Lytechinus pictus: one gene and its partners. The main gene of each other region encodes a partner of the protein of the gene in region 3 in a complex. Links are inferred from orthologs where the notes say so. Each region holds a gene or a part of one and is shown on either strand. Other genes may lie near its edges.

Region 1 (7,212 bases), about 17 Mb from region 3:
TAGTCTGTTAACAAACAAAGATATTTTGTTCAGTCCAAATATTAAGAGTTAGGCCTACAAGGTTATATATCTGAAAGATGAAAAGTGTCATGTTTCTCCCTGGACTCCCTGACTGTGTTTGTCATTTGGTGAGTGTACAATGCAGTAGCATACAGTTAAAAAAAATAGCCCAGTTCTACTAATTTCTTGAAAGTTTGAACATCTTATCAAAATTTTTAGTAGATCTACCTGATACGTGATTTTAGGTCCAGCTTGTGGGTGAAATTCACTGAAGAAGATGCATTTCAGTTTACCTGCAGGTAAAGCTGCCATACTTTTGAGTCTGTAAATGAAAAAAATAAAGAAGAAAGGAATTATTACATTATCGCAGACACATCTATTTTAGGTTAGTATGACAGTGTGTCCAAACGTAATATGTGATATCTCGTCTATGTTCATTTACTAAGTATCTACTTCTAAAAAAACATTTAAGGCTTGTGAATCTGACACTACCATACACTAACACAAAAATAGACTCCCTAACCTAAAGTTATACCTTGAAACGTCAATTCTTTTAGATGAAATAAGTAGGCCTATTCATGAAAATGTAGGATGGTTATTTTGTAATTTTCCTATTTTGTTCATTTTCTTTAACTTGTGTTTTCTTCATTTCTGTTCTGTCTAGACTTGTGTTCTTTTGCATTTCTTTTCAGCACTGCCCTTGCAGTCTGAACTTAGGTTATTTGAGTTTATATGACACCTAGATAGATCCTTGTGAATTGATTGGTTGTTTGATATCATTCATTCAGCCCATTTTGCTATTACGTCATCAACCATGCAATTTTGGATCCATACGATTTTGTCCATTACACGCGCGCACAGAGACTGCAGGCTGCAGGGACGTACTACTTGTGTTTCCAGTGCACATGTTGTAATGATGTAACAATCAGCAGACCGAACTCTTGCATCGAAATTCATAAATTTCATATGAAAAAAGGTAAATTTTTAGGTTTCATATAAACCAAATAATGATTTTTTTTTTCAATCGTGCAATGGAAAGAATACTTCATTCGGTTAAAGATGAAATGAATGATCCATTCAACTCAGCGATCATTTCATCTTTCACCTCATGAAGTATTCTGTCCATTGCACTCATAAACATTCATTATTTGTATATTAATTATATTCAGTTTTCATTCATCCTCCGATCTCCACATTGGATTCTTTTCCTCCGATTCTCTTTTGTCCTTCTCTATTCAGGTGTTCCACTCATTCAATCCCCCACCTGACTCCTTAGTTTCTAATGCCATTATTACATAATCACCAAGACATCTTTTATCACCTTCATCTTATTGTACATTGGTTTATACAATGAATTGGATTACTACATTTCAGTTGGGTTCTTCTATTTTCTTTAATTTCATTGGTTAGTTTTTTATAATGATTTAAACAATGTTGTTACTGTAGCAACAATTTTGATGTGGGCCGAGGAAGGCCAAAGGTATAAATAGAGTATTTTAATACATGAACAGACACAGATACAACACTACAGATCCAGTCTCTTTGTTTAGTTATTCTCTGTCTTCTGTTCCTGATATGTTGTTTGCTGTTATTGTTAAGTTCCTGAGTTATGCTGTTTTAAAACTGATTTTTTTATTCTCAAGTAGGTGTTTAGTTTTAATTCCTACAAAAATATTGACATAATACGAGTAAATTTGAAATTTGTCACCTTTCCGATAATTCTTTTTTTTTTTCAGAGCAGATAGATCTAGGCTACTAGGCCCGAGAGCCAGATCTATCAAGGCCTATATAGTCTATAAAAAGTACTATGAGTAAAATGTGTTACTAACCAAAATTTGTTGTCCTGTGCTTGTCTTTTGTTTCTATAGACCTCCAAAGCATACAAAATTAATGTCATGCTTTTTTAACAACCATTTCCAGTAGGCTGGGGGGTCGGGTGTCCGGACACTTTATCTTTTTGAAGCCTTCTTTTTTGTCTGTGGATTACACTAAAAATATGAATTCAATACTTGTAATCATATTCTGTTTTGTTCTTTATAATATTTCCTAACGTTTTGTACTAAAAATTGATGAAACTTCGCTTGTAATTTTTTCCAAATGACTTTCTAAAATTGATCGTCCGGACACACAACAACTGGGTATACTGCTCACACTCTTCGACTTGCATATTGAGACTGCGATAGACAGCGAAACGCCTTGACCTAGTATTTCACATTTTCCTCAATCAATTTTGAACTCTTAGTCTTAGTCTTACTATACATTTGATCTTGCCATCAATTTGGTAGATATCTAAATTTATATAAAATACCCAGTCGACAGTCTCGGATGATTTGGGCTTCAGTGACTTCAGTCTCTGTACTTATTGCCGCTGAACCCTGTCCCTGGGCACTGAAGTAAACTCTGACTCTGTAGGCTCCACTCGATAAAGTCTAAAGTAAAGAGACGGATTTCGAATTGACAATTCAGCTTATGTGGCCATGGCATGGCCATGGGCATGGCATAGCATGTCGGTTTGTTCTCACGTAATGAGAAGAATCCACATCTATTCCAGCCAGGAAACCCTTCCTATTCAATGTGTGCCCATGCAATTTTCTATGTCATACTCATAGGACATAGATCACGATGCATGCCCTGCCCGCGCCCATGCCATGGCTGGCTGGCCGGCTAGCGCCTAGCTCTGGAGCCTGGCCCGGTGGTAGTGTTCACGTCACCAAGCCAGCCGGGCCGGGCGGCAGGGGGCGTGCCCGTGCGTTCGGCCGGTCATGCAGCGCAGCAGCATAGCGCAAGAAAGGATGATGTTAGGACAGAGTTTCAAACTGCATGTCCCTCGAGCTCGGCTGATTGTAGGATAAACCAGATTTTTAAGGTAAGACAGTTAATGCTAAGGTTAAGGCTAAGGTGGAATGAAAAGTTCGTATTTACCGTAAATTCTGAAATGAGCAACTTGGCTACCCAAAGTCTCACTCCTCCTCCTGATCCTGAGAAGATCGAAGTGCGAATATGAACGGCTGCGCTTCAAGCAGGCGGCCCGCGATTTAGCTAATGTGTGCTTTGGATACAATTATCACAGAAATGTGTTATTTCTCGCTTCTTTTCGTGCATCAAAAATCACACGCATTGGTGATACAAAATGGTCTCTTGAATGTTAGAAAGTTGAATATATCACCCTTCTGTGCTGCGAGCACACACACGTACACGAGTAGAGAGGTGACTTATTTCAGGATAAGGCCAAAAAATCTGTATTCTGAGAATTTCTTGTATCTTTCCTTATAAGGCTTAAATTTTCTTGTAACTTTCATCTTTCCCGGGGGCGGGGGGGGGGGGGGGGGTCAAATATATTGCTGTACACAGTATGGTGAGACTACCAATACCACATATCGCGACCACCTCTTTTGAAACCGACCACCTTGCGCGCGTTAAAATTATTGCGTATTACAAACGATACGCGCGGGAGGGTAGGCGCAGTGTCCATAGAAACGGTATGAATCGATTTTACGAGAAAAAAAGAAGCAACAAAAAGTAAAAATTTAGTAGAATTAATCAAAATTGTATTGACCAAACCCAAACCCCGCTGAAAAACCAAGAAATCCGATAGGAAACGGCTTTAGAACAAATACCCGTCGTCAATCATCAAATCATGTGCCGGAGCTCGCACTGGAAGTAGTGAGACGATCATTTAGCATGTTGACATCATGATCATAGAAATGATTTGGAAGAGTAAAAATATTTCGCCACCGCGACAAGAATCGGCCGTAAACTTAGTGTATCGCGGGTGGTCGGTTTCAAAAGACGGGTGCAAATGAGCAAATGTAAAATCGTCGTATTCGTTTTTTGTCGATATATACGAGGATTGAATCGGAGTCGCCGAGCGAAATATGGGAATCTGATCTGCTCAATTTTCTGCACAAATGAGACGAAAACTGGGTAAAATTGATGAATATTTTCGCAGATGCTTAGAAGATTAGGTGGGAGTTAAGGGGTAGTTCCAACCATATGCATTAATAAGAACCTTGGGCCTGTTGCATGACGAGTACGACATGAGCGATACGTAGGAACGTCCTAGGACCATTCTTCCGAGATAGGAAGATTGGCGACAAATCAGCGGTTTCCGTTTCACGAAGGCAATTTAGTCTTCCAAGTCCGCGACATCGTTTGATATCGATAGTATCGGAAAAAATATTTAGTCTTCATCGTCACCTGAACCTTTTAGTTTCATTTCGGAATGACAACTTTTCATAAAATCATAAATTTCAATAAAAGGAGATCAAATAATGTTTTATTTATTACTGATTGTAGAATTGATGTATACTATGGAGCTTACTTTATGAGGTAAAAAGATACAAAAACTTTAAAGATTCACAAACAAAACTGGATAAAATCGAAATTTTCATTATTTCCCTTATTTAGAACATGATGTCCTTTTAGAGACACCTTTCATTGATATTGCAACGAAATAGACCCTTGTCCAACATAAAAATTGATTTAACTAAGTAATTTCGACATTGTATTAGTTCAACATTCTGAATTTTTATTGAATACTTAGTTATAATGATAATTTTGCAAATCATGCGTTAAATGTTATTTGTTGAGATAAAAATAGGGTTTGAATGGATTAAACAAAATCAACATGTCTGATTGTATGAGACTAAAAAAGAAATGTGAGAGGCTGCGTGTGAAAAATCTAATTTATTTATTTTATTTGTCAGATATAACGCAAGAAATACAAATGTGAGTGTTTAGAGTACACATACCTCATCAGTTGCATGATGAGTAACCGAAGACAAGGAAAATATGAAAATTGCTGCAAACATGTCCAAGTGGATAAAGTAGTGCTTTGCAATAATAATTAAAACATAGAAAAATGTGTGAATCAATCCGCAATGGAAAAAATGCTATTTACAGAAATAATGCTAAAAATTACAACGATCATAAACGTTGGTCATATTAAAGTTGATCACTTTATGGAAGTTTATATAAGAATATAAGGTTTAAGAATATGAAAAATATATATGTTCAACATTTCAAAGTTAAGGAGTAGAGACTACATTATGACATAGGGGCCGATAGGGCTTACCCTACTATTTAATATGCGCCTCTAGGTATGGACTTTCCATAATCTTTTCTTTTATAGGTACAATGAATTCATCTTCATTTGTAATGATTGTGATGGATTCTTAAGCTATATGAGCCTAATCTGTATCTTAAATTCAATTAGCTATTTTGTTACTGCAGAATTTTTGTTTTGTTTCCTGTTTCACATCTCATGCTAGCCCAAATCCAACAATTAATTTTCATTGATTAAAATTAATCTCAGCCAAAAAAATAATAATTATAATGAAAATTAAATAAAAATAAATAAATGATTTAGCATGTTTAACATCTTAGTTTTGTATTGTGTTTTTTATTGCTGAACCGTTATAAACACGTTTTTTAGCATACATAATTTTATTTTTTTAAATTGTTTTTATGTTGTTTACAGGGGTGTGAGAGTTCAGATTTTTATCTCATTTCAGATTTTTTTTGTTTTGATTTTCAGCTTAATTTCAGCTTATTTTTGGCCTTCCTCTGTACAAAAAGTATGGGAGCTCTTTCTATTTCAGACTTTTTCAACACTCTTCAGCTTTTTTCAGATCTTTTTATTTGTGACCACTCACACCCCTGGTTGTTTATATAATGGACTAAATGAGAAAGCATGAGGGGTCAGAGAGATAGTGCAGCCCATTTCGATATTTCAAGTTTTTTTTTAATGGAAAAGGGGTGGGGATAAGACGAATAATAAAAGAAAACATGTTAAAAAAAATATTTGGGCCTACATTACCCCCGGACATACCCTGGATAAGTTAAAATGACATCCGTTTTTGGTCGTCTTGCCATGCAAAAAGACAACCTGAAATTGATGACAACTAGCCCCCATATAAAAAAATAAGTTGGCGCCATCCCAGATAAAATGCATCAGATTGCAATCGAATGACACCCCAAAAAATGTGATATGTCAGTGTGGCTTGCCGTAAACGCATTTTCTCTCAATGCCGACGGTGGCGGGCGGTGTGCAAAGAAGATCATGTCTACGTAGGACATGTCTGGTCTCTGGAGGTGTCTTTCCAAGGACCATTCTTGGTATCGCCCAAATCGGCTTTGTGAAACAGTTGAGCGATAACTCGTTCTTACGTAGAACGGTTCTACGAAAGACCCTTTCATGCAACAGGCCCCTTGTCTATTTGTTGCTCTGGGCTATGAAGCTTCAGGTGCTATGGCAGCTAACAATGAACATGATCCCTGTGCACATAAAAGAACAAACGATTACACCAATGATGCAGTGTGCATAATACATAATCCTCTATCTCCCCCCTACCTCGGGCAAAGTTTGTGCAGGCTCCACTTCACTACTGCTACACTACGCTCCACCTACCCGAACTTTGGGACCGTGAACTCGATCGGATATTCCGAGTGACAAAGGTGGGATCAAAAAGTGGTTTATTGTAAAAATTATAGAAAAAAAATAGCTTAATTTCTTACTCTACACCCTCATTTCACTCCGTGTCCATCCTCCGGTTATCCTCAAAATTGGTGATTTTGGGCCAGTATATAATTCCTCACACGTATTATTCACGGCCGATTTCAAAACATTGCATGCGATCGGTCGCAGGCCAAATAGCATAAATGACTGATTGAATCTGATGACCGGGGTAATAATATATCTGTAAAGCGCTTAGACACGTCGTTCCGATGTATTAAGCGCTATATAAAAAACGGATTATTATTATCATTATAAATATCTATATCATATTGGATGGCTCAGAAAATACCAGAAATACCGGTATTCTAAGAGTTTGGGAAAATATTCCAAGAATCAGAGGAATATTTTTTTAGTCAAGGATAGCTTGTAAGTACTTCTCACATGTGCGAACGCTGTCAGGGGTGATCTCAAAGCCAGCGAATTCGACGATATCCGCACAGAACGTGAACTTCCTAGGATTGAGGGTAATCCCTTTTTTGGCCGCAGATGTCTGGACAGCCATTCAACAGCCTGGAAGAAACTGTCTTCCATCGTGTCAGCCCACAGGAGGACGTCGTCCGTCGACGCATTTCGTCTTATTTTGGATATCCGAGACGATTTCATCATACCGCCTGGTGTATCCATCTCCTGAGGTAATGTAGCCCTGAGGGGCTGTCTTGTAACTGTACCTGCCCCATGGGGTAATGAAAATGGTG
Region 2 (7,919 bases), on a different chromosome or scaffold from region 3:
TACAAATTAAGTCATTTTTTAAAAACGTTTCTGGCAATGAATGAAAGCACAGTTCTGCTGTACTAAAAATGAGTCTAGTTTATGTAGATTTTGTTCTCTCCTCCCCCCTCCCTCTGATTTGCAGTTTAATAAATCAATCTGGCCAAAACACAAATTGTGGCCTGGCCCCGTTGTCAGGTATGTTGATAATAGAAATGGAAAAAATAAACTTGAACTTGAGGTATGATTATTTTTCATTTTTCTTATAAAGAGCAATCAAGATCTTATATCAAATTGGCAACACTCTAAGTAATGCAAAGATAAACTTGGAAAATGATCAGTCCTAGCCATGCCTCCTATTATGTTACCATGCCATTTGAATATATATGCAAACACCCAGCGAAACCTCCACCAAAAATTACATACTCACCCTTAAAAGCTCTTCCTATTTACAAAAATAGAAGTAAACATGTTAAAAAGTATAAACAAAAAATAATAAAGACAATGTATATCTACATAAACAACTTATTGTGTTGTATTAACAAATTTAGTCCTTAAAATATGGTACTCCAAGTCTCAACTTTTCGGTTGATTAAGGTCATTGATGAAAAACACCTTTTTGCTGATCTTTTAATTTGAAGTCTAACGTTAGGCCTATACCTGAACGGAATGAATTGTCATAGAATAAATTAATTAAAAATCATCAAGAAAAAATAAAACTGGGGCAGGTACCCCTGCGAGCCTTCTCCATGTTCAGATAGGATAGTCAGTATTAGTTGCAGTTGCAAGAACTTGTCTTGGCTGTCAAGCTTTGCTGCATCATGCATGCCAGGCCAAAGCCATGCTGGCAATAAAAATTGACAGGTCTTTTGCTCTACAGACTACAAATATGGCAGTGAGTCCAACTTTGCACGTGTCCATACTTTGCGGACGATCATTATCTCAAAAACTATTTAATATCTTTAAAATCTGACATCATCAACATGCATGCATGAAAAGCAACTTAAAATTACCCTTCAGCATAACTTAGGATAAATTCATTAAAATATTGACAAAAGATTGGAAAATTTGTAACCGTTAGTGACCTTTCCGAAAAAATCTGAACTTCTGTCAAGTTATACAAGCATCAGTCCATCACGATATCAATTTCTTTTTAATCATCATTTTGCAAGCAGGTATCAACTGACCATGCTGACCGATTCTATTTTGACTTCCATCTGAAATATCTCACCTTAGTTTTGAGCTCGAGTTTTTGTTTAAATCTCCTCAAAACTTTGGTCCACGATGTTAGGTCACACTTTTTTAGAATGTATTTCCTGCACAGCGCGCATTCGTCGATCGGATTCGGAATAGAAATAAATTTTGACTATTACCGGCGAAATCTAGACTCTAACTTTACTTCACATTTTCGTCAATCATTTTAGGTTATGGTCTTGCCGTCAATTTGTATTTCTTCTTCTTCTGGAAACAGTAGTACAGTCCACCGTCTGGTGTATTGTCGTACTGGTGAAGTGCAGCGTGCAAGTGTATGTACATTATTCGATAAAAAATTGCTTATAGTTATAATTACAGCTTACCTAGACCAAAAGCTTCGGTCTCTGTTATGTTGGTTGTTCAGCTGAACTCCGTTGGCTTCACTCACCAAATACAGAGACCGAAGTTCTAGCGCGATCTGTACAGGGGACTCAATGGCCATATGTTTATGTACATAAGATCGGATAAAACGGGGAAGTGAATTTGCGCGACAGCCGAGGTAAGTCACTGTTTTTGTTCCTTTTAACTTGATTTTTCTCGGTTTTTTGGCAATTGATGCCAAGAGGGAATATTAATTTGCATTTTGGTCGCGTGAATTTTCAAAATTTTTACTCATTAAAGACAAAAATTGAAGAGCCCCGACGGGGAGATTTTGCATTGCAAGTCCCCTAATGGTGGCTGCACGCTAGCGAGCCGTCTGTGTATGAGGAGAAATTTAAATTTAAAAAATGTTAAAAAACTCCTCGAAACAGACGGCTGCCAGCTGTCTACACTCTACAGCTTACCTAACCCAGAGAGCTCCCGCCCGCGCAGCGGGCGGGAGCCCAGAAGCTTACCGTGTATTTTACCATTGTCACCGGACTAGGGTGATTTATGGTCTAAATATTTCTCCAAATGAATTGTGAAAACAGAAAGTATACAATTACCACGATTATATGGATGAAGGTCTAACGAGTGGCAGATTCCTGACATCTGGGCACAGTCTGGAACCTCAAAAAAACGAAAAGTTCTCTCCTTCTACCCCGTCTCGATCGGCCATTTTTGTTAAAAATCGTAACAAAATGGCCGATCGAGACTGGGTAGAAGGAGAGAACTTTTCGTTTTTTTGAGGTTCCAGACTGTGCCCAGATGTCAGGAATCTGCCACTCGTTAGACCTTCATCCATATAATCGTGGTAATTGTATACTTTCCGTTTTCACAATTCATTTGGAGAAATATTTAGACCATAAATCACCCTAGTCCGGTGACAATGGTAAAATACACGGTAAGCTTCTGGGCTCCCGCCCGCTACGCGGGCGGGAGCTCTCTGGGTTACAGCTTACCAAGCTTATTTGGTAGGCCTAGCTATTTTTATTGATTTTGAATAAATTGTGAATATATTGTGAACGAATTAACTTATTTAGCCTGATGAACAGGCAATCTGCCCGGTTAAATCCCATTGTGGGGCGTTGGGCAGTATACCCAAAGAAGAAGATGAATATTTTTTAAATGTCCGCGAATTTTGGACACCCCATTATACTAACACGTATTTCAACGCATGGGACTAAACTTAGAAATTTAACCCAACTAAAAATAGATCTAACTTCTAAGACTCTAACGTTAGGTCCAGCACACACAATCATCATCATCAATATTTTCCCGATCAAAGTCAAAACTCAAATCCTTTCTAAAAGACGTTACCTCTTTCTTGAGTCCCTCGTGACATGTTTGTATACTAAGTCGGATTATTAAAATAATAAACTAAAAGTTCAGCTAAAATATCAGCACTTGATCTAAGCTACTCGAGTCTGAGAAAAATAGACTATTCGATGATTTCGAGGTATCGCTATCGCGAAAATGAAGAGTAACTGAAGAAAACTCATTAAAATAAAAGAGAGAAAAAATATATCATATAGGCCGAGAAGAGAAAGAAAGGGAGAAAAGTAGGCCGAAAGTAGGAATTAGGAAGGGAAAATTAAGAAGGAGAAAGAGATGAAAAGAAGGAAAAGAAATGAAAGACTAGATCGAGAAAAGAAAACGAATGGGAAAATTAAGAGAGACAAAAGGGAAGGAAAGGGGCGGCGGAGTGAAGTGAAATGGGGGCACAGGAAAAATTAAGGGGCATGCACCTTTTCTTTCGAAAAGGGCACTATCTTGAAACATAGAAAATACGACTTATCTACAGTGGTGTAATGACCAAAAAAAATTGAGGGGGCTAGAATAAAGGACCTATATCGTATCATGTAAATTAGGCAGCGAGAGATAAACAAAATTGACATTTTTCAAACGAATATCACATTTTGTGATATATTTTGACATAATATTCAGAAAATAATATCATATTTTTATTACCCTTTCCTCTTTCCTTTTCCTTTTTTTTCATTGCAGTAAATTAAAGCCCGCAGGCCCCCAATATATGTAAACCACTGCTTATCTACCCACCAAAATGTTTTTTTCCTTCACTAAAGTATAACGTCTAAAAATGAGAACATAGGCCTATTGTTTTCAAAGGGCACTCGATTGTTATAACACATAAAATGGGTGAAAGGGGCACAGCTCCCAAAGCTAGAGAGTACGTTCGTGCATGAGCCCGGGGCACTGTCGTTGTTAAAAGCTAGGGCACTTTTCTTTGTTAAAAAAGGGCACTGATAAGAGAAAGGGCACCTATAAGAAGGCAATTAAAGGGGCACAGAGCCCGGCGGCACAGAGCACGTTCGTGAGGGGCAGTTTTCTTGGGTAAAGGGGCACTAGATGAGAAAGGGCACCTTTGAGAACTTTCTAACAGCATAAAACGGGTGTGAAAGGGGCGCAGAACAAGTTCGTACATGGGGCACTGATTCGAGAAACGGCACTTGCAAGGGGGCAAATGCATGCTCACATGCATATAAAACGGGCCCTTCTCGATCAGGTGAAAGGGGCACAGAACACGTTCGAGAGGGGGCATTTTGGGGTTATAAGAATTGGCACTTATAATAAGTGGCACTTAATTGGTAACACCTAACAAAGGTCCTCCTCAGGTAAAAGGGGCACAGTACACGTTCGTGAGGGGGCAATTTTCTTGCGTAACAAAGGGCACTTTTTCAGTGCTTCAAAAGGTGGAGGCACTGTGCCCCCCCCCCCCCCGGCCCCAGGATCACTGACCCTGGAAGGAAAAGAAAGTAAAGGGAGAGAGGAAGAAATAAAGAAAAGAGAGATCAAATAATGAGAGAAGGAAAAGGGATCGGGAGAGAAAAGAAAGGAACTGAAGGGAAAGATACTGAGAAAAAATTAAAAGATTAGAAATTAAGAGAATGGGAGAAGAAAGAAAAGGGGAAGGGAAAATACATATAGAATGAGAAGCAAAAGAATGAAAACTGAAGGGAAGAAGAAAAAAGGGGAAGAGAAGTTAACCTTGGTCATAACCTCTGCCTATTAAGGGGGTCATAACCAGTATCGAGATGTCTAGCATTTTGAGCAATGTTATCAGGAAAAAAAACAATTTTTTAATCGATATTTATTTTCCTTTTCTGATAATGGAACAAAAAATAATAGAATCACGTAGAGAGGCCTATAATTATTTGAATCGGGGACTGTCTGTGTCGGACTCCTTGGTAGAGCCAGCCACAGAACATAGTGAATCTAGTCTCACTACTCAGACTCTGCATTATGCACTATGCGAATTGCGAAAACCAAGGGTCTGCACCACTATGACCCCCCCCCCCCCCGACACAATCAAAGGAAGCTATAGGGAAGTAAAAGAGAAATTACACTGTTAGAAAAATTTCCGTTTTTTAACGGAAAAAGTCCGGCAGCAGAATTTCCGGACTTTTTTTTTTTTTCCGTAAATTTACAGAAAGTGGTAATTTATGGAAAAGTTCTGTAAAATATACAAGATTCCGTAAATTACAATTCTTGAAAATACGGACTTTATTTACGGAAACTTTACAGAAAATTTACATAAATTAACATGATTCCGTATAAATAATTAACGGAAAAAAAAAATTTGTCCGGAAATTTTGCTGCCGGAATTTTTTTTTTTTGTCCGTAATTTTACGGATTCCTTTTCCGTAAAATTACCGTACTTTTACAGATTCCCATGAAAAATACGGATTTTATGTACGGAAATTTTACAGAAAATTTACGTGAATTAACATGATTCCGTATAAATAATTAACGGAAAAAAAAAATTTGTCCGGAAATTTTGCTGCCGGAATTTTTTTTTTTTGTCCGTAATTTTACGGATTCCTTTTCCGTAAAATTACCGTACTTTTACAAATTCCCATGTAAAATATGGATATTATTTACGGAAATTTTACAGAAAATTTACGTGAATTAACATGATTCCGTATAAATAATTAACGGGAAAAAAAAATTTGTCCGGAAATTTTGCTGCCGGAATTTTTTTTTTTAATCCGTAATTTTACGGATTCCTTTTCCGTAAAATTACCGTACTTTTACAAAATTCCCATGTAAATTTACACATTTCCGTAAAAAAACAAGTTTACAGAATTCTTAAATTTTTTACAGATATTTTTTAATCAGTAGATACCTTACAATAGGAACGCTGATTTGCTATTTAAACATGTACTCCCAAACACATGGTAGATTGTATGAATGCATTCACTTAAGGCCTGAACAAACATTGTGTTGCCCTTTTCTGACCTGGACAAATCGGGCCAGCTTTTTTCAATTATTTTTTTCATACTATTACTAAGCTTACTATTTCTAGAATAAAACATGGCAACAGTGATTGTGTCTCGCCCACTCATGAAAATAACCAGAAATATCGTGATTTGCGAGGGCACACAACATAATTGTATTGAAACTTCATTGTGAAATGACTGGGATGGAATAACACTTGTCATAAGAGCCTTGCACATAAACTTTAATGTTGACCTGTAAATTCAATTCAATTCAAAATGGTTTATTAAAAATCCTTTCTTTGCGGCAAAAGCCGAATTGCGAAAATTTACATTTCAAACAAAATCATCAATAACAAGGTAAAAAAAACTTATAGTACTACGAACAAATTTCAATATAGACATATGTAACAAAGTATATCATAAATAAATTTAAATTGATACTCACTGATCAATAAAAAAAAATGAAAAATATTCAAAATACATGTAAATATGAGTGGATAGAGGAAATGAATTGGAAAGCAGAAAGGAATAGAAATAGTGGAAGAGAGAAGAGAGGCAGAGAAAGAGAGAGAGAAGAGAAGAAATTGATGGTGGAAGGGAAACAGAGAGAAAAGGGCGAAGAAGCAATTCAATTCAATTCAATTCAATTCATTTATTTTCTCTTTCAATCTTTTTACATTTACAATGATAGTTCAATATACATATTTACAAAATATAACATTTAAATCATTTTTTATAATACAATAATACCATGAAATCGAAAGGGAAGGAGACCAACTAAAAAGCAGAGCTTGCAGGGTGAAGGCCCCCTTTTATAAGTAAATTTTATGAATAAAAAATAAGATTAAATTAAGAAATAAACAATATATATCAAATGAATAAAAAATAAACAAATAAAAATAAAAATAAATAAATAATAATAAAAATAAATGATTCAGTATACACTGTATACAGAAATCATAAAACGATTAAACATATATACAAAGAGAAATTAATAAACACATTTACATATTAAGTTCTGAATTACATTACTTTGGGAAAAAACGATAATCTAATATGCTGCAATAATACATATTTTGGCAATTTTTATGACTTCAATTCAAATATTAAGTTTACGACTAGATATCAGTGAATAATTGCTCATATATGAAAGAAAAATATTTTGATTAACAAAGTAAAATGAAATGAAATGAAACTTGAGTTCGCCAACATAAAGAGAACTCAACATTAGAATTAGTATGTAATCTGCATTTTATAAAAAACAATCTTTTAATGATATCACATTTTAAGAGTCCAATGAATGATGAGTTCTTTAATTCTCAGCCATTCGTAGTTTGATATTATTATACATGTAACGATAGGGGAAGATATATACAAAAAAAACTACTCCTTGTAATCAATTCTTTTAGAGTTAAAGGTAAATGCTAGTTTTGGTAACGATATCAAAATGAGTTCGTACAGAATCCAATGAAATGACCACCAAAGTGTCTGTTTGTATAAATAAAACATATGTGCCAAAGGATTCTGGAAGAAATTGTGTAATTGCTGAGAAATCAGCAAATAAGCACAGGATTCGGGTAGAGCGTCGGGCCCGACATTCGAAGCAATAATTATACACTGTCCCACGTGCGCTTATCTGTGTTGGGGATCTTCAGCCTGAACATTTTTCAGCGTAGATTTCAAGATTTCACAAAGTTCAGTTTATGTAACTGTACCAGATCTAGATCCTCGATGATTAATGACAATTAAGCCTTGTTTTACAGACTTTCTCATGAAAACAGTGTTTACTGCAACTACTGGAATTTCTCTTTAAGGTGCCGAATCAACGAGGGCAAGGGGCTATTTCTATATCGTGAAGTTCGACATCGCATCTCTACTGTTCCGGCCAAGCTTCTAGTCTGATATTGACAAGTCCTATTTTGAGGTAGAAGGTGATACAGTTTAGACGTGGGGATTTGCATAGACTTCGCAAACGCAAGACAAAGAGTTTGATCCATCTATCTTCAAGAGACATCAGTTCTGACTGGAGTAAAGCATGCTCATATGAAGAATATGCTGCTCCAAAAATGATTCTAAGGGCACGTT
Region 3 (7,555 bases):
AGTACGCGAACACTGCGTGAGCTATGCGCGAACTATACGCATTCTATATACATCCCCCCCAATCAGTTATATTGGGAGGAGAGACCTGCGGGTCATAGTGATTCAGTTCGCTTTTCGCCTCCCAGGCACAGGTGACGCCAAAACAAAATAATAATAATAACAACGCGCAAACATGTTACGAACGTGTCAGGACAATGCGTGAACTGATATATCCAAGTCGTGCCATAAAGTGTCCCGCACTGGCACGCATCAATGCAGGGAATTGCGGGCACCACAATACCTGCATGTGTCAACTGGGCATAAGGCTACGTCTCATTAGCTCTTTCTGCCAATAGAATCGATATCGAGAGATTCTAGTAATACACGCAATAAGCCTTTTGTGAAACGTGTTAGTACATTGTATATTGGCGCTAACTCTGTGGTTGTTGGAAAGAAATACAACTAACTTGTCCCGGTATTGAGAAACAGGCCCCAGGTCTCTTACTTAATCTAATGTTTATTCTTTTCTTCTTATTATCATTATTATCTTATTTGGCATTTCAATAAAGATCAAGTTACAAAGCAAATACATGAGTGCAAATATACTATTATCCAAAAAAATTTAAACTAAAGGTATATAAAATGACTTACAATCATATCTTCATGAGCTGTATCCACAGTACTGATTACAGAAACCTGAAGGAGAAACAAAAAATTGTGAAAATTTATCTAATTTAATTTTTATTAGGCCTGGGAGTAAACATCGATTGATCGAATGGCTTGCCACCGATCGCCAATCGATTAGCAAATTTTACACTGACCGAATGTTTGGCAGATCCCGATTATGACGTTGGGATAACTCAAATACCCAAGTAATAATAAAAAAATGACAGGATAACTATGATGACAATGGTTTTTGAATACTTGATACAGGTTTAAAAATGATGTTACCAAGGTAATTTGTCAAAACTGATCAATGATTGTATCACATTCACAGTTAAACTCCGACCTGAAAGAGCTCCGAAAATGTTAATCCAACCCGGCCTTGCCCTCGATACACAATACAAGTCATTGTCTGCGTGCTCAAAACAGAAAGTAAACACACAACCAGCTCACTTGAGCTGATTGGACCTTCTATTAGCCAATGAAACTTTTTGGGAAACAAAGAAGCCACATGCGTTCCCTTATCAGGAAAGGTCATGACTTCAGAAATAAATTGACCCCTCCCCATCTGTGTGTGTGTGAGGGAGAGAGAGAAAGATAGGGGAGAGGGAGCCAGAGAATTCATTTCATGTTTCAAAACAATGCAACCTAATACCAGGGTACCAGCATTGATTTAGGAAAGATTTTCATTGGAACAATAAACTGAAAGATTTAATCTCATTTCATGTAGTTTCTTTTGAAAATCATGGAGAAGGGGGAAGAGGGCCTACTTTCATTTATGATAAACATGTGACTTTGATGGAGATTTCTTCATTCGGGAGGTCACCATAAAGTAGGTGAACTATTGTGACTTAAAAGATGTGATTTCCGATGAACAATCAAATAATTTGATTGTTTTTTCAGGAAATAATCGAATGGTAAAAATGACATTCATCCCAGGCCTAATTTTTATCACTGACTTAGTGACTAATCTTAGAAGTATTCACAGATCTAGTTCGATCAGGTTGTGATACTTGGGGCGAGGGATGGGGAGGAAAATAGTTGATTTTTTTGTCCATGCTACAGTATGCTGCCGAGAACAAGGTTATATTGGCTATATAACCTTGTTCGTGTGTAGACCAAAACTAAAGCTTCGGTCTTCTTCTTGATTATACTCCTCAACATCCTTATTACTATTAGGAACCACCCGAGGAGGAATTGGGAGTGCACACTTCATTTCTTATTAGTCCTTGTTGCTTAAGTCTTTGTTGCGAAAGTATATAGTTGCCTGTGTTCTGAAGTTATCGGAGACTGAGAGTGAGATTGATTGGATGTCGGGGGGTAGAGAATTCCAGTCCTTGATGGTGCGTGGAATATATGAGTTCTTAAACTAAGCAATTGGTGCGAGTTGAGCACTGGATGAAATGTTATGTTGGTTGTTCCGCTGAACTCTGTTGGCTCCACTCACCAAATACAGAGACCAAAGTTCTAGCTCAATCTGTACAGGGACAATGGCCATAGGCCTATGTGTAAATAAGTTCAGATAAAACAGGAAAGTGAAGTTGCGCAACAGCCGAAGTAAGTCACTGTTTTTTCCCCTTTTAAGTTATTTTTCTCCGTTTTGGTGCATTTCAGGCCGAAACGAAATAATAATCTTTATTTTGGTACATTTCGTTTTAGGCCCCCTATAAAAGGCTATAATTTTTTTTTGAAATAGGCCTAGGCCTAGGCCTAAACTTAAAGACAAAAATCGATGAGCCGCGTCAGGGGGATTTTGATAATGGTGGCTGCACGATAGCGAGCCGTCTGTGTACAAGGAAGTTTTTAAAAATATTAAAATGTTAAAAAAATACTCGAAACAGATTGCTGCCAGCTGTCTAGTTCGTATGATGAGTGGCGCAGACATGCCCCCCCCCCCCCCTTTCATAGGATAAAACACCACACCTTTTGACACATACGGGACTGAGCACAGAACAATTATTCATTGAAAGAGCTATTTTGGGTTTAAAACGTTGAAAATCTTGATATCAAAGTATTTCATTAGAACTGAAATGCATCAATTTAAAATGTAATATATGAATAAATAATTTTCTTACCATCTTGCCCAGAACTTTTACAATTAATTCATGAAAAGCTAAAGCGACGTGGCGGAAAGCTGCTTGACTTCTTCTATCAAATAGGCAATTTGCATGCAAAATGGGACCGTATACCGTACCCGGAACCGAGTAGGGCCGGGTTGGTGATAGGTAAGGTTGGTGGTACCGGTTTTCACTGATCCTGCTTGCTTGTATTCAGATCAGTGCAGTGTTCCATCCATTCCATTCCATATGATTACTTGTTTTTATTTGGCAATAAGTCATGATTTACTATTTTGCCACACACTGTATGTCAAGTAGGATAAGCATTTTCTTAATTTTTTTTTCTTTCATTTATCTTTTTATTTTAAATTTATATACATTATATTTCTTTCTATATTTATTCTAATCATATGAATCAAATCATAAGGATCAACACACCAACATTCTAGTACATGCAAAAAAAATGATGAATAATACCTTGGTCACATTTGTTCCACGGCGGCCGTACGGCGCGAGTCGAAAACAGCCGTTTTAACATTTTTTTTGGTACGAGCTACATATAGGTGGTTTAATAAAAATGAATACAACGACTGTTTTCGACTCGCCGTACGGCCGCCGTAGAACAAATGTGACCAAGGTACATAGAGATTTCAACAAGTTAGATTCTCAGTGCAGGGGCCACAGAACGGTTTTCAAAGTGGGGGGGGGGGGGGGGGGCCGACCATACAAAAATCACAATCCTATGGTCATTTTTACGTTTTTGTACACGGTCTTAGAAAAAAGTGGCCCCCCCCCCCCCCCGCTTCCGCGGCCCCTGCAGTGTAGCATCACTTATCTGCATTAATACTAGATTTGTGATTCAGTCTCCTTCTTCCTTTTTTTTTTTTTTATATATATTTTTTTATAGATATAAGTTACAATTCTAATTATCTCAGTAAGCCTAAGATATTTTTTCTTGGGTTATATTACTTTTGAACCGTAAGACAGACAGAGAGAGAGAATATAATTATGTAATCAAGAAGTAATAAGAAAGAAAAAAAAATGATTTGCATTGACTAAAAGAGAGACAGGCAAAGAAGGAAGCGCCCCCTCCCATACCTAGTCTGCAGGCACAGACCCTGATTGGAACTTTGATCAATAAGTGTGCCTCCACGCAAAGACTAGCACATACAAAACTTGCTGTTCCAATACAGGGTCTGCATAATCTTCCAAAAATCAATTCTCACGCTCCAAATCAAGCCCCACCTCCTCCTTTCAGAGTCACTTTCCATTGGCTAGTAAACATTGTCAATCAGCCTCCCAGGGGAACTGCTACCAGTGGCCAGTGAGAAGATAATTGATAACTCAGATAAGATTTAGCCAGTAGTTAATCCAACATAAACAATGTCCCATGCCCAGAAATCCCTCCAGGGATCTTGTGGTCTACATCCAAATGCAGAAATGAAATGGTCATTACAGGGCCTACTGTATAATCAAGGAGATATCACTCTATATCTCCTTGGTATAATACCATAGGAAATGGTCACATATCCCTGCTAGAACAAAGCAGGGAAGTACACGTAAGCTATAGAAATGTCTATTTCTTGTATTGGCCCATTATAGTTTGTTCCAATACCATGCAAACAGTCTCTTTATATCTTTCTGTTGGGTCATTTTTTCACTTTATATAGGTTGGAACTTCCTTCGTGTATTTTATTAGCCCTATAATAGATTATGAATATAACTAAGGATCAGTATAGTAGTAGTATAGTATAGTATTTATTTCAAACCATATCAAACACAAACAATGGTACAGAATACAAATTCATAGAACTCAGAATGATAGGTCAAGGACAAGTTCACCCAACAAAGAAGTTGATTTGAATAAAAAAAGGAAATCCAACATTTTATAACACTGAAAATGTCCTCAAAATCGAATGTTAAATAAGAAAGTTTAATCACATTTTAAAGTTTCTGTTAATTTCACATACAGTTTTCCACATCCTGGTCCGATTTGCAAATGAGGAGACTATCCACTTTTTTTGCATTTGATTATGTGAAATATTCTAATTTTCTCCTCATGTCAAATGAAACAACGGCCAATTCCTCCCTGAACATGTTGAATCAGCTTTTTTATTACTATGGTTCAGTTAACTTGGTCCTTATTGCACAATTTAAACAATAACAAACAAATGAAATAGTGAGTTAGGGTTATAAACTGTCTCGTTTGCATCCCAGGTGTGCATGTCACATCACTGTTTTGTGAAAAATAAGCGAAACTTTAAAATATCATACATTTCTTATTTTACGTCCGATTTTGATGAAATTTTCAGCCTAGCTAGTTTGATTTTCCTCTATTTATTCAAATAAAAAAATTATAGGGTGGACTTGACCTTTAAGATTTCATATAATTTGCACGAAGTCCATTTCTCTTTGGCTCTCATTTTTCTTCCCTATTCTCCACATTTATTTGATTCTATCTCATTACTCCTTAATCACTTTTCTTTTTTCTAGTTAAATATTATTACATCTTTAATTCCAATCTGTCATTACAACCAGGGCTGTTGGCAACAGAAAACTGTGTGCAGGTTATAAATAGTAAAATTAAATTCAAATACTTAAAAAAAAACAGTGAAGACTTTATATTCACAACTTAAAATGGCATGTAAAATGAGAAAGACAATGATGTCCCTCATTTTATACTTTTTCTTTCTTCTTCTTTCATTAAAAAGTAGTTTTAACGATATTTCAATGTTTACAGATTTGACATAAAAGACCAACTTGACTGAACATATTAAATGTTAGTACCATGGCAATGCCACATGTTTAGAAGAGAAAATTTTGCTTCACGTGACGATGAGGAGAAATTTGAAACATCAATATTCAATATATAAAATACCAAAAAAAAATGATGTCGTCAGTCCCCTCATTTGCATACCGACCAGCAGTGGCGTACTGTGGGTCACGGCATGGGGGGGGGGGGGGGGGGGGGGCACCAGCAAAAATTCTGAGCCACTTAGTGAGCGCGCTTCGTATATGTATCTAACTGATCAAATAATGCGAGCGCGAAGCGCGAGCTGAAAATGTTGGATATTCAGACCTAAAAAGGGACTCAAAAATTTTTGTAATCATTATACGTACCTGTCTCACTAAACAATGCGAGCGCGAAGCGCGAGCTGAAATTTTTGTATATATTGACCTCAGACACGGAGATTTTAAGGACTATATTTTAGGAATCCATTAAGAGTATACATATCTCACCATAGTCATCTAATGCGATTGCCAAGCTCTTGCTGATTTTTTTAGTATTGCATCTAAACGCATTAAGCACTTGTCATGCTTGTAGTAATTGTAATCATCATTATACGCATCTCACTAATCAAATATTGCGAGCGCGAAGCCCGAACTGAAAACTTTGGATATTCAGACCTAAAAATGGACATTATAATCAAATTTGTGTAATCATTATACGAAGAGCGAGCTGAAATTTTTTTACATTCAGATCAGAAAAAGGGATATTTTAAGTACTGATTCTATAGGAACTCATGGAGGGCAGTTATACCTCACCAATCCACTAATTGCGAACGTAAGCACGGACAGGAAATGTTTTATATCAAGACCTTAAAATTAGGCAATCGCTTTAAGTAGTCATGAAAAAGAAGCATACTATTGTGCATAAAACAATATCTCGAAGTGCGAAAAAATATATTTGGTGTATATTGACTTGAAAACGGGAGGTTTTAGTACAACAGGATTAAATATATTCTTAAACAGACAATGCGAGCACCAGGAACAATGAAGACATAGCCATAGGCCCTGAGTTAATGTTTCATAAAGTTATGAAAAAGATATTTCTTATGTAATATAACATAACATAATTATAATTTAACAAAACATCAATAATTTCTTCTTTCCCAGTACGTTTCTCTTCCTTTCTCCCTCTTTTTCTCCTTTTCCCTGTTTTTTTTTTTTTTTGTTGGGGGGGGGGGGGGTGTCAGCCGATTGGGGGGCACGTGCCCCCCCCCCCCTCCCGTAGTTACGCCACTGCCGACCAGGATGTTCAAATAATTGTTGTGAAATACATCACAACTCCCTGGTGAAATGAAGCAAACATGTAAATTGTTATCACTTTCTTTTTTTCAGCTTTAAAGGTCAAGTCCACCCCAGGAAAAAGTTGATTTGAATAAATAGGGAAAAATCAAACTAGCAAAACGCAGAAAATTTCATCAAAATCGGATGTAAAATAAGAAAGTTATGACACTTTAAAGTTTTGCTTATTTTTCACAAAACAGTGATATGCACAACTCAAATGAGAAAGTTGATGATGCCCCTCACTCACTATTTCTTTTGTTTTTTATTGTTTGAATTATACAATATTTCATTTTTTACAGATTTGACAAAAAGGACCAACTTGACTGAATCATATAGTATTAAACAATGCTCATTCCACATGTTCAGGGAGGAATTAATCGTTGTTTCACTTGGCAAGGAGGAGAAATATAGAATATTCCCTATTTCATATAATAAAATACAAAAGAAATAGTGAGTGGATGACGTCATCAGTCTCCTCATTTGCATACCAACTAGGATGTGCATATAACTATTTTGTGAAATCAAGCAAAACTTCAAAATGTCATAACTTATTTATTTTACATCCGATTTTGATGAAATTTTCAGTGTTATGTTTGTTGGATTTTTCTCTTTTTATTCAAATCAACTTTTTGTTGGGGTGGACTTGTCCTTTAAAGGACAAGTCCACCCCAACAATAACTTGATTTGAATAAAAAGAGAAAAATCCAACAAGCATAATGCTGAAAATGTCATCAAAATCGGATGTAAAATATGACATTTTAAAGTTTCACTTCATTTCACAAAAC
Region 4 (7,017 bases), on a different chromosome or scaffold from region 3:
ATTGATGCAAGCACGATTCAAAATCTGTGATTTTCGAACCTAAAATATATTATGTTTTATTATTAAAAAAGGTATTTCTTTCATTTGGACAAAAAAATCTTATGGGGATTTTTTTTTTTTGGGGGGGGGGGCAAGAGAGCACAAAGCGCAAGCTAAAATTTTCAAATGCTTAAACTGAAAATGAGTCATTTTTAGGACTCTTGTCGTTTTCATATTTTTTTCTGCTTACAACCACTTTTATTAAACAGTTAATTAATCATTAATTATTAATACTTATCGATAATATTAATAATTATTAATTTTTAAATTATTTTTTGTTAATTATTATTTCTTGAAACCATATTGACACAAAAAAAAATACGTTGTTTATTTCCTTGAAACTGTAGAGAAATAAGATTCAATGTTGAACGATATATGATAAAAAAGAAGTAAAAACTTTTTCCCCTTTGTTTTGTCAATCTGACCCAAAACCAATATAAAATTTAGAAGAGAGATAGAGAGAAGAAGAAGTCCCACCACCAAGAATAAACTTAGACAAGGGGGGGGGGGGGGGGGAGGGAAAGGAAAAGATGGAGTAAATGTGATATTATTTTTTAAACAATCTATTGCAAAATTAGCTTTTCTTATAGAAAGAGGGGGACAAATTTTGTTCACTCGCTCGCTTCAATCGCTTTCTTCTTTTTTTTTGACAGAAATTTTGCTCTATATATGCCATGCTTGGCCCCTCATAGTTTCTGGCTCATCATGCCATTGACATAACCCATTTGGATATGACAAAATTGGAGACTGTGTTCAAGTTTACCAAATCTTTTCAGAATATCATTAAGACTTAAAACATTCTTGTTGGCCAAAGAAAATAATACAAGGAAAATTCATTCTGAGCAACGTGAATGCTTACGATCGGCACGGTCGAGGCCAAGTCCACTGCGCATGCGTACTCTCAATCCGAAGACGCAAGTCATGAATATTCATATGCTGCACGTACGTGCATAGCGCCAACTTAATGTGTTCCGCCATCTTGCTTGTTGGTTGCCGATAAAATGCGCATTTTCAGATTTTTTAACGCTCAGTTATTATCCATGACTGAAACATTGACCAATCAAAAACTAAGATTCTATAAGAAATATGAATATTCATATACGAAAGTAAAAACATAGATAATTCAGTGTTATGTGAAATTTAAACCCAATACTTCAAAATATGGTTAGTTTTATGTCTCTAAAATGACCCTTAAAACCAGAATTTTATTACTAAAAAATAAAGGTTTTCCCAAGTTGCCATGGTAACGCGGTCTGAGATAAAAAAGCTTAGCAAACACTTCATTTCAGTGATCGAGGATGTATTTGTTTACGGTATACGTCTACATAAATTATAACATTTTTTTCCAGACCATGGATGAACTTTCAAAAAGAGACATTTTAGGCAAGTTTTTACGATTTCCGGAAATTTTCTGACACAGGCACTTTGAAGAGGTAATTTTTACAGAATTAGAAGAAGACATCATGGATTTTCCTAATTATCACGACGGATATGCAACTTACTTGTAAACAAATCAAACAAAGTCTATGATACATTTTTGATAATGCAAAAAGAGACATTCAAGTCTCTGATTGAGAGCCGCAGATTGAACATTCGCACGGCGCAATGGTAGCGTTTTCGCCGAATTCGTCGGGGCGAAAACTCCAAGCGAGCCGTACCACTCACCAGTCCCGAACGCTGCGCTGTATGTTTGATGATTTATCTGGTGCCATTTCGTGCTTATAAATTAGTTTTTTCTACAATGCCACTATCTCATTAAAATTGTTTGTCATGATAACATTGGAAATATTATCGTTTAATGGCCCAAAGGATCGACTCTAATAAAAGATACTTTGAAATATTGTCAAAGAGTGATTAGTTAGGTGATGTTTATGGTCAGAATTTAGTCATGGCTTCGGGTGAACTTACGCGAACGCGGTCACTTGCTCACGGGGTGAGTCGGCCTGGCCCTTTGGTGGAAGGCCGTTAGGCAACGTGCAGTGCAGCTAGAGCAGAGTTGGGGAGTTATAGGTATAAAAATACTTTGAAATAAGTAATCTGCAAATATTTTTGTCTTATCCCTTTGGATTACTTAGATAAGAAATTCAAATTCTCAAAGTTTAAATCAAATTTTAGACAGTGACAACAAAGAGTGGTGCTGTATGGGGGGGGGGTCTTGCATGCCCCCAATTCACGAACAAGAAAAAAAAAGGAAAAGGTAAGAGAATCTTGCGAGATCGTTCAATTGGATTTTTGTAACCAAGAGTCAAAATTATGCTTATGTCGCTTGCTTGCAACTATATATTTTATAAATTTTGCCTGATACGCCATATCGTTTTACCCTCAATTATTTTCGCTTGTTACGGCTTACGCCACTGACTGATATAACATTATTTGGTTGCGGGATCAAAGCATCAGCTATAGCTAAACATTTATACTTTATGCCTGTTCAACTTCCAATACAGGTTTAGGCCTGTATTTATGAGATGTTAAGATCTATGGACGGTAGACAGCTGGCAGCCGTCTGTTTCGAGGAGTTTTTTAACCATTTTTAATTTTTAATTTCTCCTCGTACAATAGACAGCTGGCAGCCGTCTGTTTCGAGGAGTTTTTAAACATTTTTTATTTTTTAATTTCTCCTCGTACACATGTATTTGGTGAGTGGAGCCAACGTAGTTCAGCGGAACAACCAACATAACAGAGACCGAAGCTTTTGGTCTAGATATATGGGTGCCTTTATTATTTTCATTTTCAATTAAAACAATTATTAATTATGTATTAATTTAGTATTTACCTCGATGATACATTTTATTGTGTTAAATCGTACAATTTCTGTTATATTAAGCCCCTTATTAAGCCCTTTTAAAAACATGCTCAGTAGCAGACCCCCCCCATATATAAAGACAATAGAAGTGTATATAGAATTAATTGAACCCCCCCCCCCTATTGAGGACAAAATGAAAAAAAAAATACTCAAAATAATCGACCGCCCCCCCCCCCTTTGACGAGGCAGCTGTCGGTGGCCTGATGTCTTCATTGACTTTTTTTTGCTTGTAAAAATAATATTAAAGAAATAGGGGCTACTCTAAGTGTCCCCTGTGAAAATTGATCTGGATCTGCAAGTGCATGAGGCTGCGCCCTCTCCAACGTCATAGCTACCCCATATCTTTAGGTTCTAGCTCTCATATTTTTCAGCTCCCTGATTTTTTGGAAGAAAAAAAAACGAGGCGAAAGAAAAGAGTGAAATAAATGAAATACGATTAATCAAAATTTGAGTTGTTTTCTATACTTATCAGAGAAACTAAATTAAATTCTACAACCATGAAGAATAACAGCAATCTTGATAAATTCTGTTTTTTTTTCAAAATCAGAACCAATCAACCTTTTTCTGATTATTCTGTCACTTTCCATATTTTGGAGAAAAAAATAAAAGTGTTCATCGACGCCCTGTACTGCACGATGAAACTGTATCCCCACTCGGCCCTCGTAACCCCCCCCCCCTCTCTCTCTCTCTCTCCCTTCCCCCCCCCCCCCCACCACAATGCCCCTTGCTCATTTCTCTTATCTCACCTTGACCTTAATTAATTAATCTTAACTATTTGGCGGTACAGTCAAACGTGACTGGTCGCCATCATAGTTTCATCCCCAACAAACAAGGAACAAACAATAACAATTCTGTTTTTCCACCCAACATCATTCCTTTCAATACGCGTAAGGCTATACGTGGGCATGCACAAACAACGTGGGTTAACAAAAACTGACCCGCGTTTGGACTGAAATTGTGATTAAAATAAAAATGTTATAAATATGAAAAAAATATGTGTATAATGAAGGATATTTGATAAACGGAAAAACATCAATCGCTAATTCATAAAAATGCTGGAAAAGATTTGACAGTGGTTTTTAAGAACGGTAATCAAGGGGAATTAGTGTATGGGTGAATGGCGTTCGAGCTTTAGCCGAGCGTTAGCCGGTGAGGGCGCGGGCCAAATCTGGCAATATGGCGTCGTCCATTAAGCTGACGTTAGGCCAACGGCGACTGCACGTACGTGGCTGGTCCAGAACTCGGTGGGAAAAATAATTTCGCGCCCGGGCCTTGTTCTTTTCCAACACAAAAACACACATTTGGGACTATATTAGTATTTGTGTGAATCAAGAATATTAATGAAATGTTTTGTAACTGACAAAAACATTTTCATGAAATACTTATGAAAAAATGAAGAATGATGTGCAAGCCAGAAGAAATATCCTACCCTACGGCTACGGTATTGTACCTCGTCAAAAATTTGTGTGACTCGTAAGATCCGACCTGTTTTTCTCGCTTCGTATGCTGCCACATTTGTACCGCCTGCTGCATCATGTGTTTCTAGATCCTCGATCTTCCGAACATTATCGAAATTCAACGCGAGACAGTTTGGATCAAAACTGTGAGAAAAGCACACAACTGAAAAATGTCATCAAAAGTCACTCCTTTAAGTATAATATTGGTATCATCCGGATCAAAAGGTTACCGGTTGTTATTTAGATATCCATTTCAAGCAGAAAAACAGCAAGAATTAGTTAAACGAGGTAAGTGAAAAATAAATAACCAAGCTCCCATCTCACTGAGCTCAGTCCCACTCGTTGAAACCTGGGTCGGTTACTTACTCGATCGGTTAAATAAAAGACGGGGAGGGGGGGGGGGGGGGGGAGAAAATAATGAAGGAAGGAGAAAGAAAGAAACTTAGAATGAAAGAAAGAAAGGAAGGAAGGAAATAAATGAATAAAGAAAGAAAGGAAGGAAGGAAAGGAAAGGAAGGAAGAAAGAAAGACTAAAACTAAAAAAAAGAAACCTAAAATGAAAATTACTTGAAACTGAATGAAAGTTTAATAGTAATAATTACTAATACGGTACAGAAATTCCATAATTTCTGAAAAAGTAAGTTGCGGAGTAACTTTACAATCCAATGTCATAATGGATTATGAGAGCATGGATTACACACTAGTATTAGAACGAGGCATCATCATAGTCATACTTCAGCTCATGACATTGGATTCTAAAGGTAAGCCCAAAGTAGGTCATTGTTTGTTTGTGTGCCGCAAAATACAGAGACATAACAGGACCTTGCTCAGCTGTATGTCGCAAGCATGCACAAAGTATAGGTATACTCATCTTGTGTGTTAACTAATTAACATTGCTGCATGCAAGCAAAAATCCTTGAAAATTCATGAAATTCATAATGCAAGCCTATATCTATATGATCAGTATGCATTGTGTGTTGCACTGTGCTTGCTTTTTACAGCCACAAAGAATCCTCAACAAATGGGTTTCGAAAAATGATCAATAAATTTGGACGTTATCAAATGTTGAACCCCGGCCCCATCCCCCAAATAATGAGAAACGAATGTGAGGAAACTTGAAATAAGCTACATGTATCGAAATCTTTGAAAGAAAGAAAGAAAGAAAGGAAGGAAGGAAAGAAAGAAAGAAAGGAAGGAAGGAAAGAAAGAAAGAAAGTTCAAAAGAAAAAAATTATAATTTTTTTAACTGGAAGTGGTACGCTAGTGAACCGACCATTTTGTTTTCATGTGTAAGTAGATCGTATAATTTGTTATTGATATGAGGTTATAACTGATTGCATACTTTATGTACGCATACATTTGTTATATATATATATTTTTTATGTTGTTTATAAACTTTATATGGTGTACACTCATACCCTGAGAGGGGGTTGATAGAGTGAATTAAATATTATCTATCTTCTAAATCTTACACAATGTATCTATCTATCTTCTTAATCTTTGATGGATTTTCCTCAAACCTTCACCAATATTTTTTTCTGGTATTTTTACAACATGTTTTTCTTCAGGGCGAACTTCCCTTTTAAGTGCAAGCACCCTGTCACATCACCAGGGAGGTTGTGTCCAGGCTGCTGCCAGCGCCAGCTGACATTCCTAAAATTCCATTATGCCAAGTCCTCATGGTCAGATATTTTAGAAGTTTATTAACCCCTGTGTCCAAGCATGTTGAAATAAAGTTGACAACGTTGGACAGTTTTTAGCTTGTTTTCTCTTGATCTTGTGGATAAATGCTTGATTTGTTTATACACCCCCCAGATCTGTCAGATAATCCATTTGCACTTCAGACCCCCGAGGATGATCCGTATACTATCTCAACTAATCAGTCATCTACAAGACAGTCGTGCATTATATCTGGGTAGGTTTTTGTATTCTATTTTGGTTTGTTTCAGGTGGGGGCTTATTTTCTTACTTATGCTCATACAGTACATTTTTATCACATTCAATGGCAAATTTTGGGCGGCATTTTAGAGCTCAACAGTGCATTTTTACATTTAAGGGACAAATTGTGTGTTTTCTTATGTATTTACACAGCTATTAAATTGGGCAGGAGGGGGGGGGGGTGATAAGGTGCAAGATACTACCACGACGTTAACACATCAATTAGTGCTTGCTAAGTGTATGATTGAGCCATCTCCCCACCCCATATTATTCTTTCTTCATTTATTTTTATAACTTTAAAATCATTATTCTATCCAAGAACGATAAGGAACTGGAACAACCTACCCAGCTCAGCTATCAACACCAAAGGAATGTCCAGTTTCAAGGAGGCTGCTCTCCCTGCCATCAGAATGATGCAGCCCCCTATTGGATCCCATATGATTTAAAGTCAAAAGCTTGGTTTTTACTTGCACTCAGCATAGCATGTTTTACTGTACATATACAAAATTGCTATGTCTGTTCATCACCATTTCTGCACTTCATGACACTCCTTCCAGTGGCTCACTTTATTCATCATCCCAGTATATCTTCTGTATGAGCTGCCAAAGGGATTACTACATCAAGTATCAAGAGGGTATTTGCCTCCTTGCTCCTCACTGATGTAGAGCCTCCCACATAAATCAATCTTAAACAAATGTATGTGCATTTTTTCAAGAGTGTTCTTTATCCAGATTGTGAGAGATCCCTAATGAAAATAAGCTGAAATCAGCTAAGAAGTTA

What was found.
Region 1: protein SEC13 homolog (region 3) and GATOR1 complex protein NPRL2-like share a complex: the UniProt entries of both Drosophila melanogaster proteins name them as parts of the GATOR complex. The link is inferred for Lytechinus pictus from reciprocal best matches to the Drosophila melanogaster genes Sec13 and Nprl2.
Region 2: protein SEC13 homolog (region 3) and GATOR2 complex protein WDR24-like share a complex: the UniProt entries of both Drosophila melanogaster proteins name them as parts of the GATOR complex. The link is inferred for Lytechinus pictus from reciprocal best matches to the Drosophila melanogaster genes Sec13 and Wdr24.
Region 4: protein SEC13 homolog (region 3) and GATOR1 complex protein NPRL3-like share a complex: the UniProt entries of both Drosophila melanogaster proteins name them as parts of the GATOR complex. The link is inferred for Lytechinus pictus from reciprocal best matches to the Drosophila melanogaster genes Sec13 and Nprl3.

What each region holds. Positions count from the first base shown.
Region 1 is NC_087247.1:42,698,952-42,706,163, forward strand, and holds the start of GATOR1 complex protein NPRL2-like, read right to left. Parts: upstream 3,015-7,212; 5' UTR 2,923-3,014; intron 2,701-2,922; exon of another isoform or gene 2,604-2,700; intron 2,430-2,603; exon of another isoform or gene 2,309-2,429; intron 1,989-2,308; exon of another isoform or gene 1,830-1,988; intron 323-1,829; 5' UTR 313-322; coding exon 229-312; intron 1-228. UniProt on the Drosophila melanogaster protein: An essential component of the GATOR subcomplex GATOR1 which functions as an inhibitor of the amino acid-sensing branch of the TORC1 signaling pathway.
Region 2 is NC_087257.1:16,500,864-16,508,782, forward strand, and holds the start of GATOR2 complex protein WDR24-like, read right to left. Parts: upstream 3,023-7,919; 5' UTR 2,939-3,022; coding exon 2,914-2,938; intron 425-2,913; coding exon 410-424; intron 1-409. UniProt on the Drosophila melanogaster protein: An essential component of the GATOR subcomplex GATOR2 which functions as an activator of the amino acid-sensing branch of the mTORC1 signaling pathway.
Region 3 is NC_087247.1:59,274,092-59,281,646, forward strand, and holds the start of protein SEC13 homolog, read right to left. Parts: upstream 3,003-7,555; 5' UTR 2,721-3,002; coding exon 2,718-2,720; intron 676-2,717; coding exon 631-675; intron 1-630. UniProt on the Drosophila melanogaster protein: Functions as a component of the nuclear pore complex (NPC) and the COPII coat. At the endoplasmic reticulum, SEC13 is involved in the biogenesis of COPII-coated vesicles.
Region 4 is NC_087254.1:36,127,427-36,134,443, forward strand, and holds the start of GATOR1 complex protein NPRL3-like, read left to right. Parts: upstream 1-3,999; 5' UTR 4,000-4,469; coding exon 4,470-4,587; exon of another isoform or gene 4,588-4,640; intron 4,641-6,114; coding exon 6,115-6,214; intron 6,215-7,017. UniProt on the Drosophila melanogaster protein: An essential component of the GATOR subcomplex GATOR1 which functions as an inhibitor of the amino acid-sensing branch of the TORC1 signaling pathway.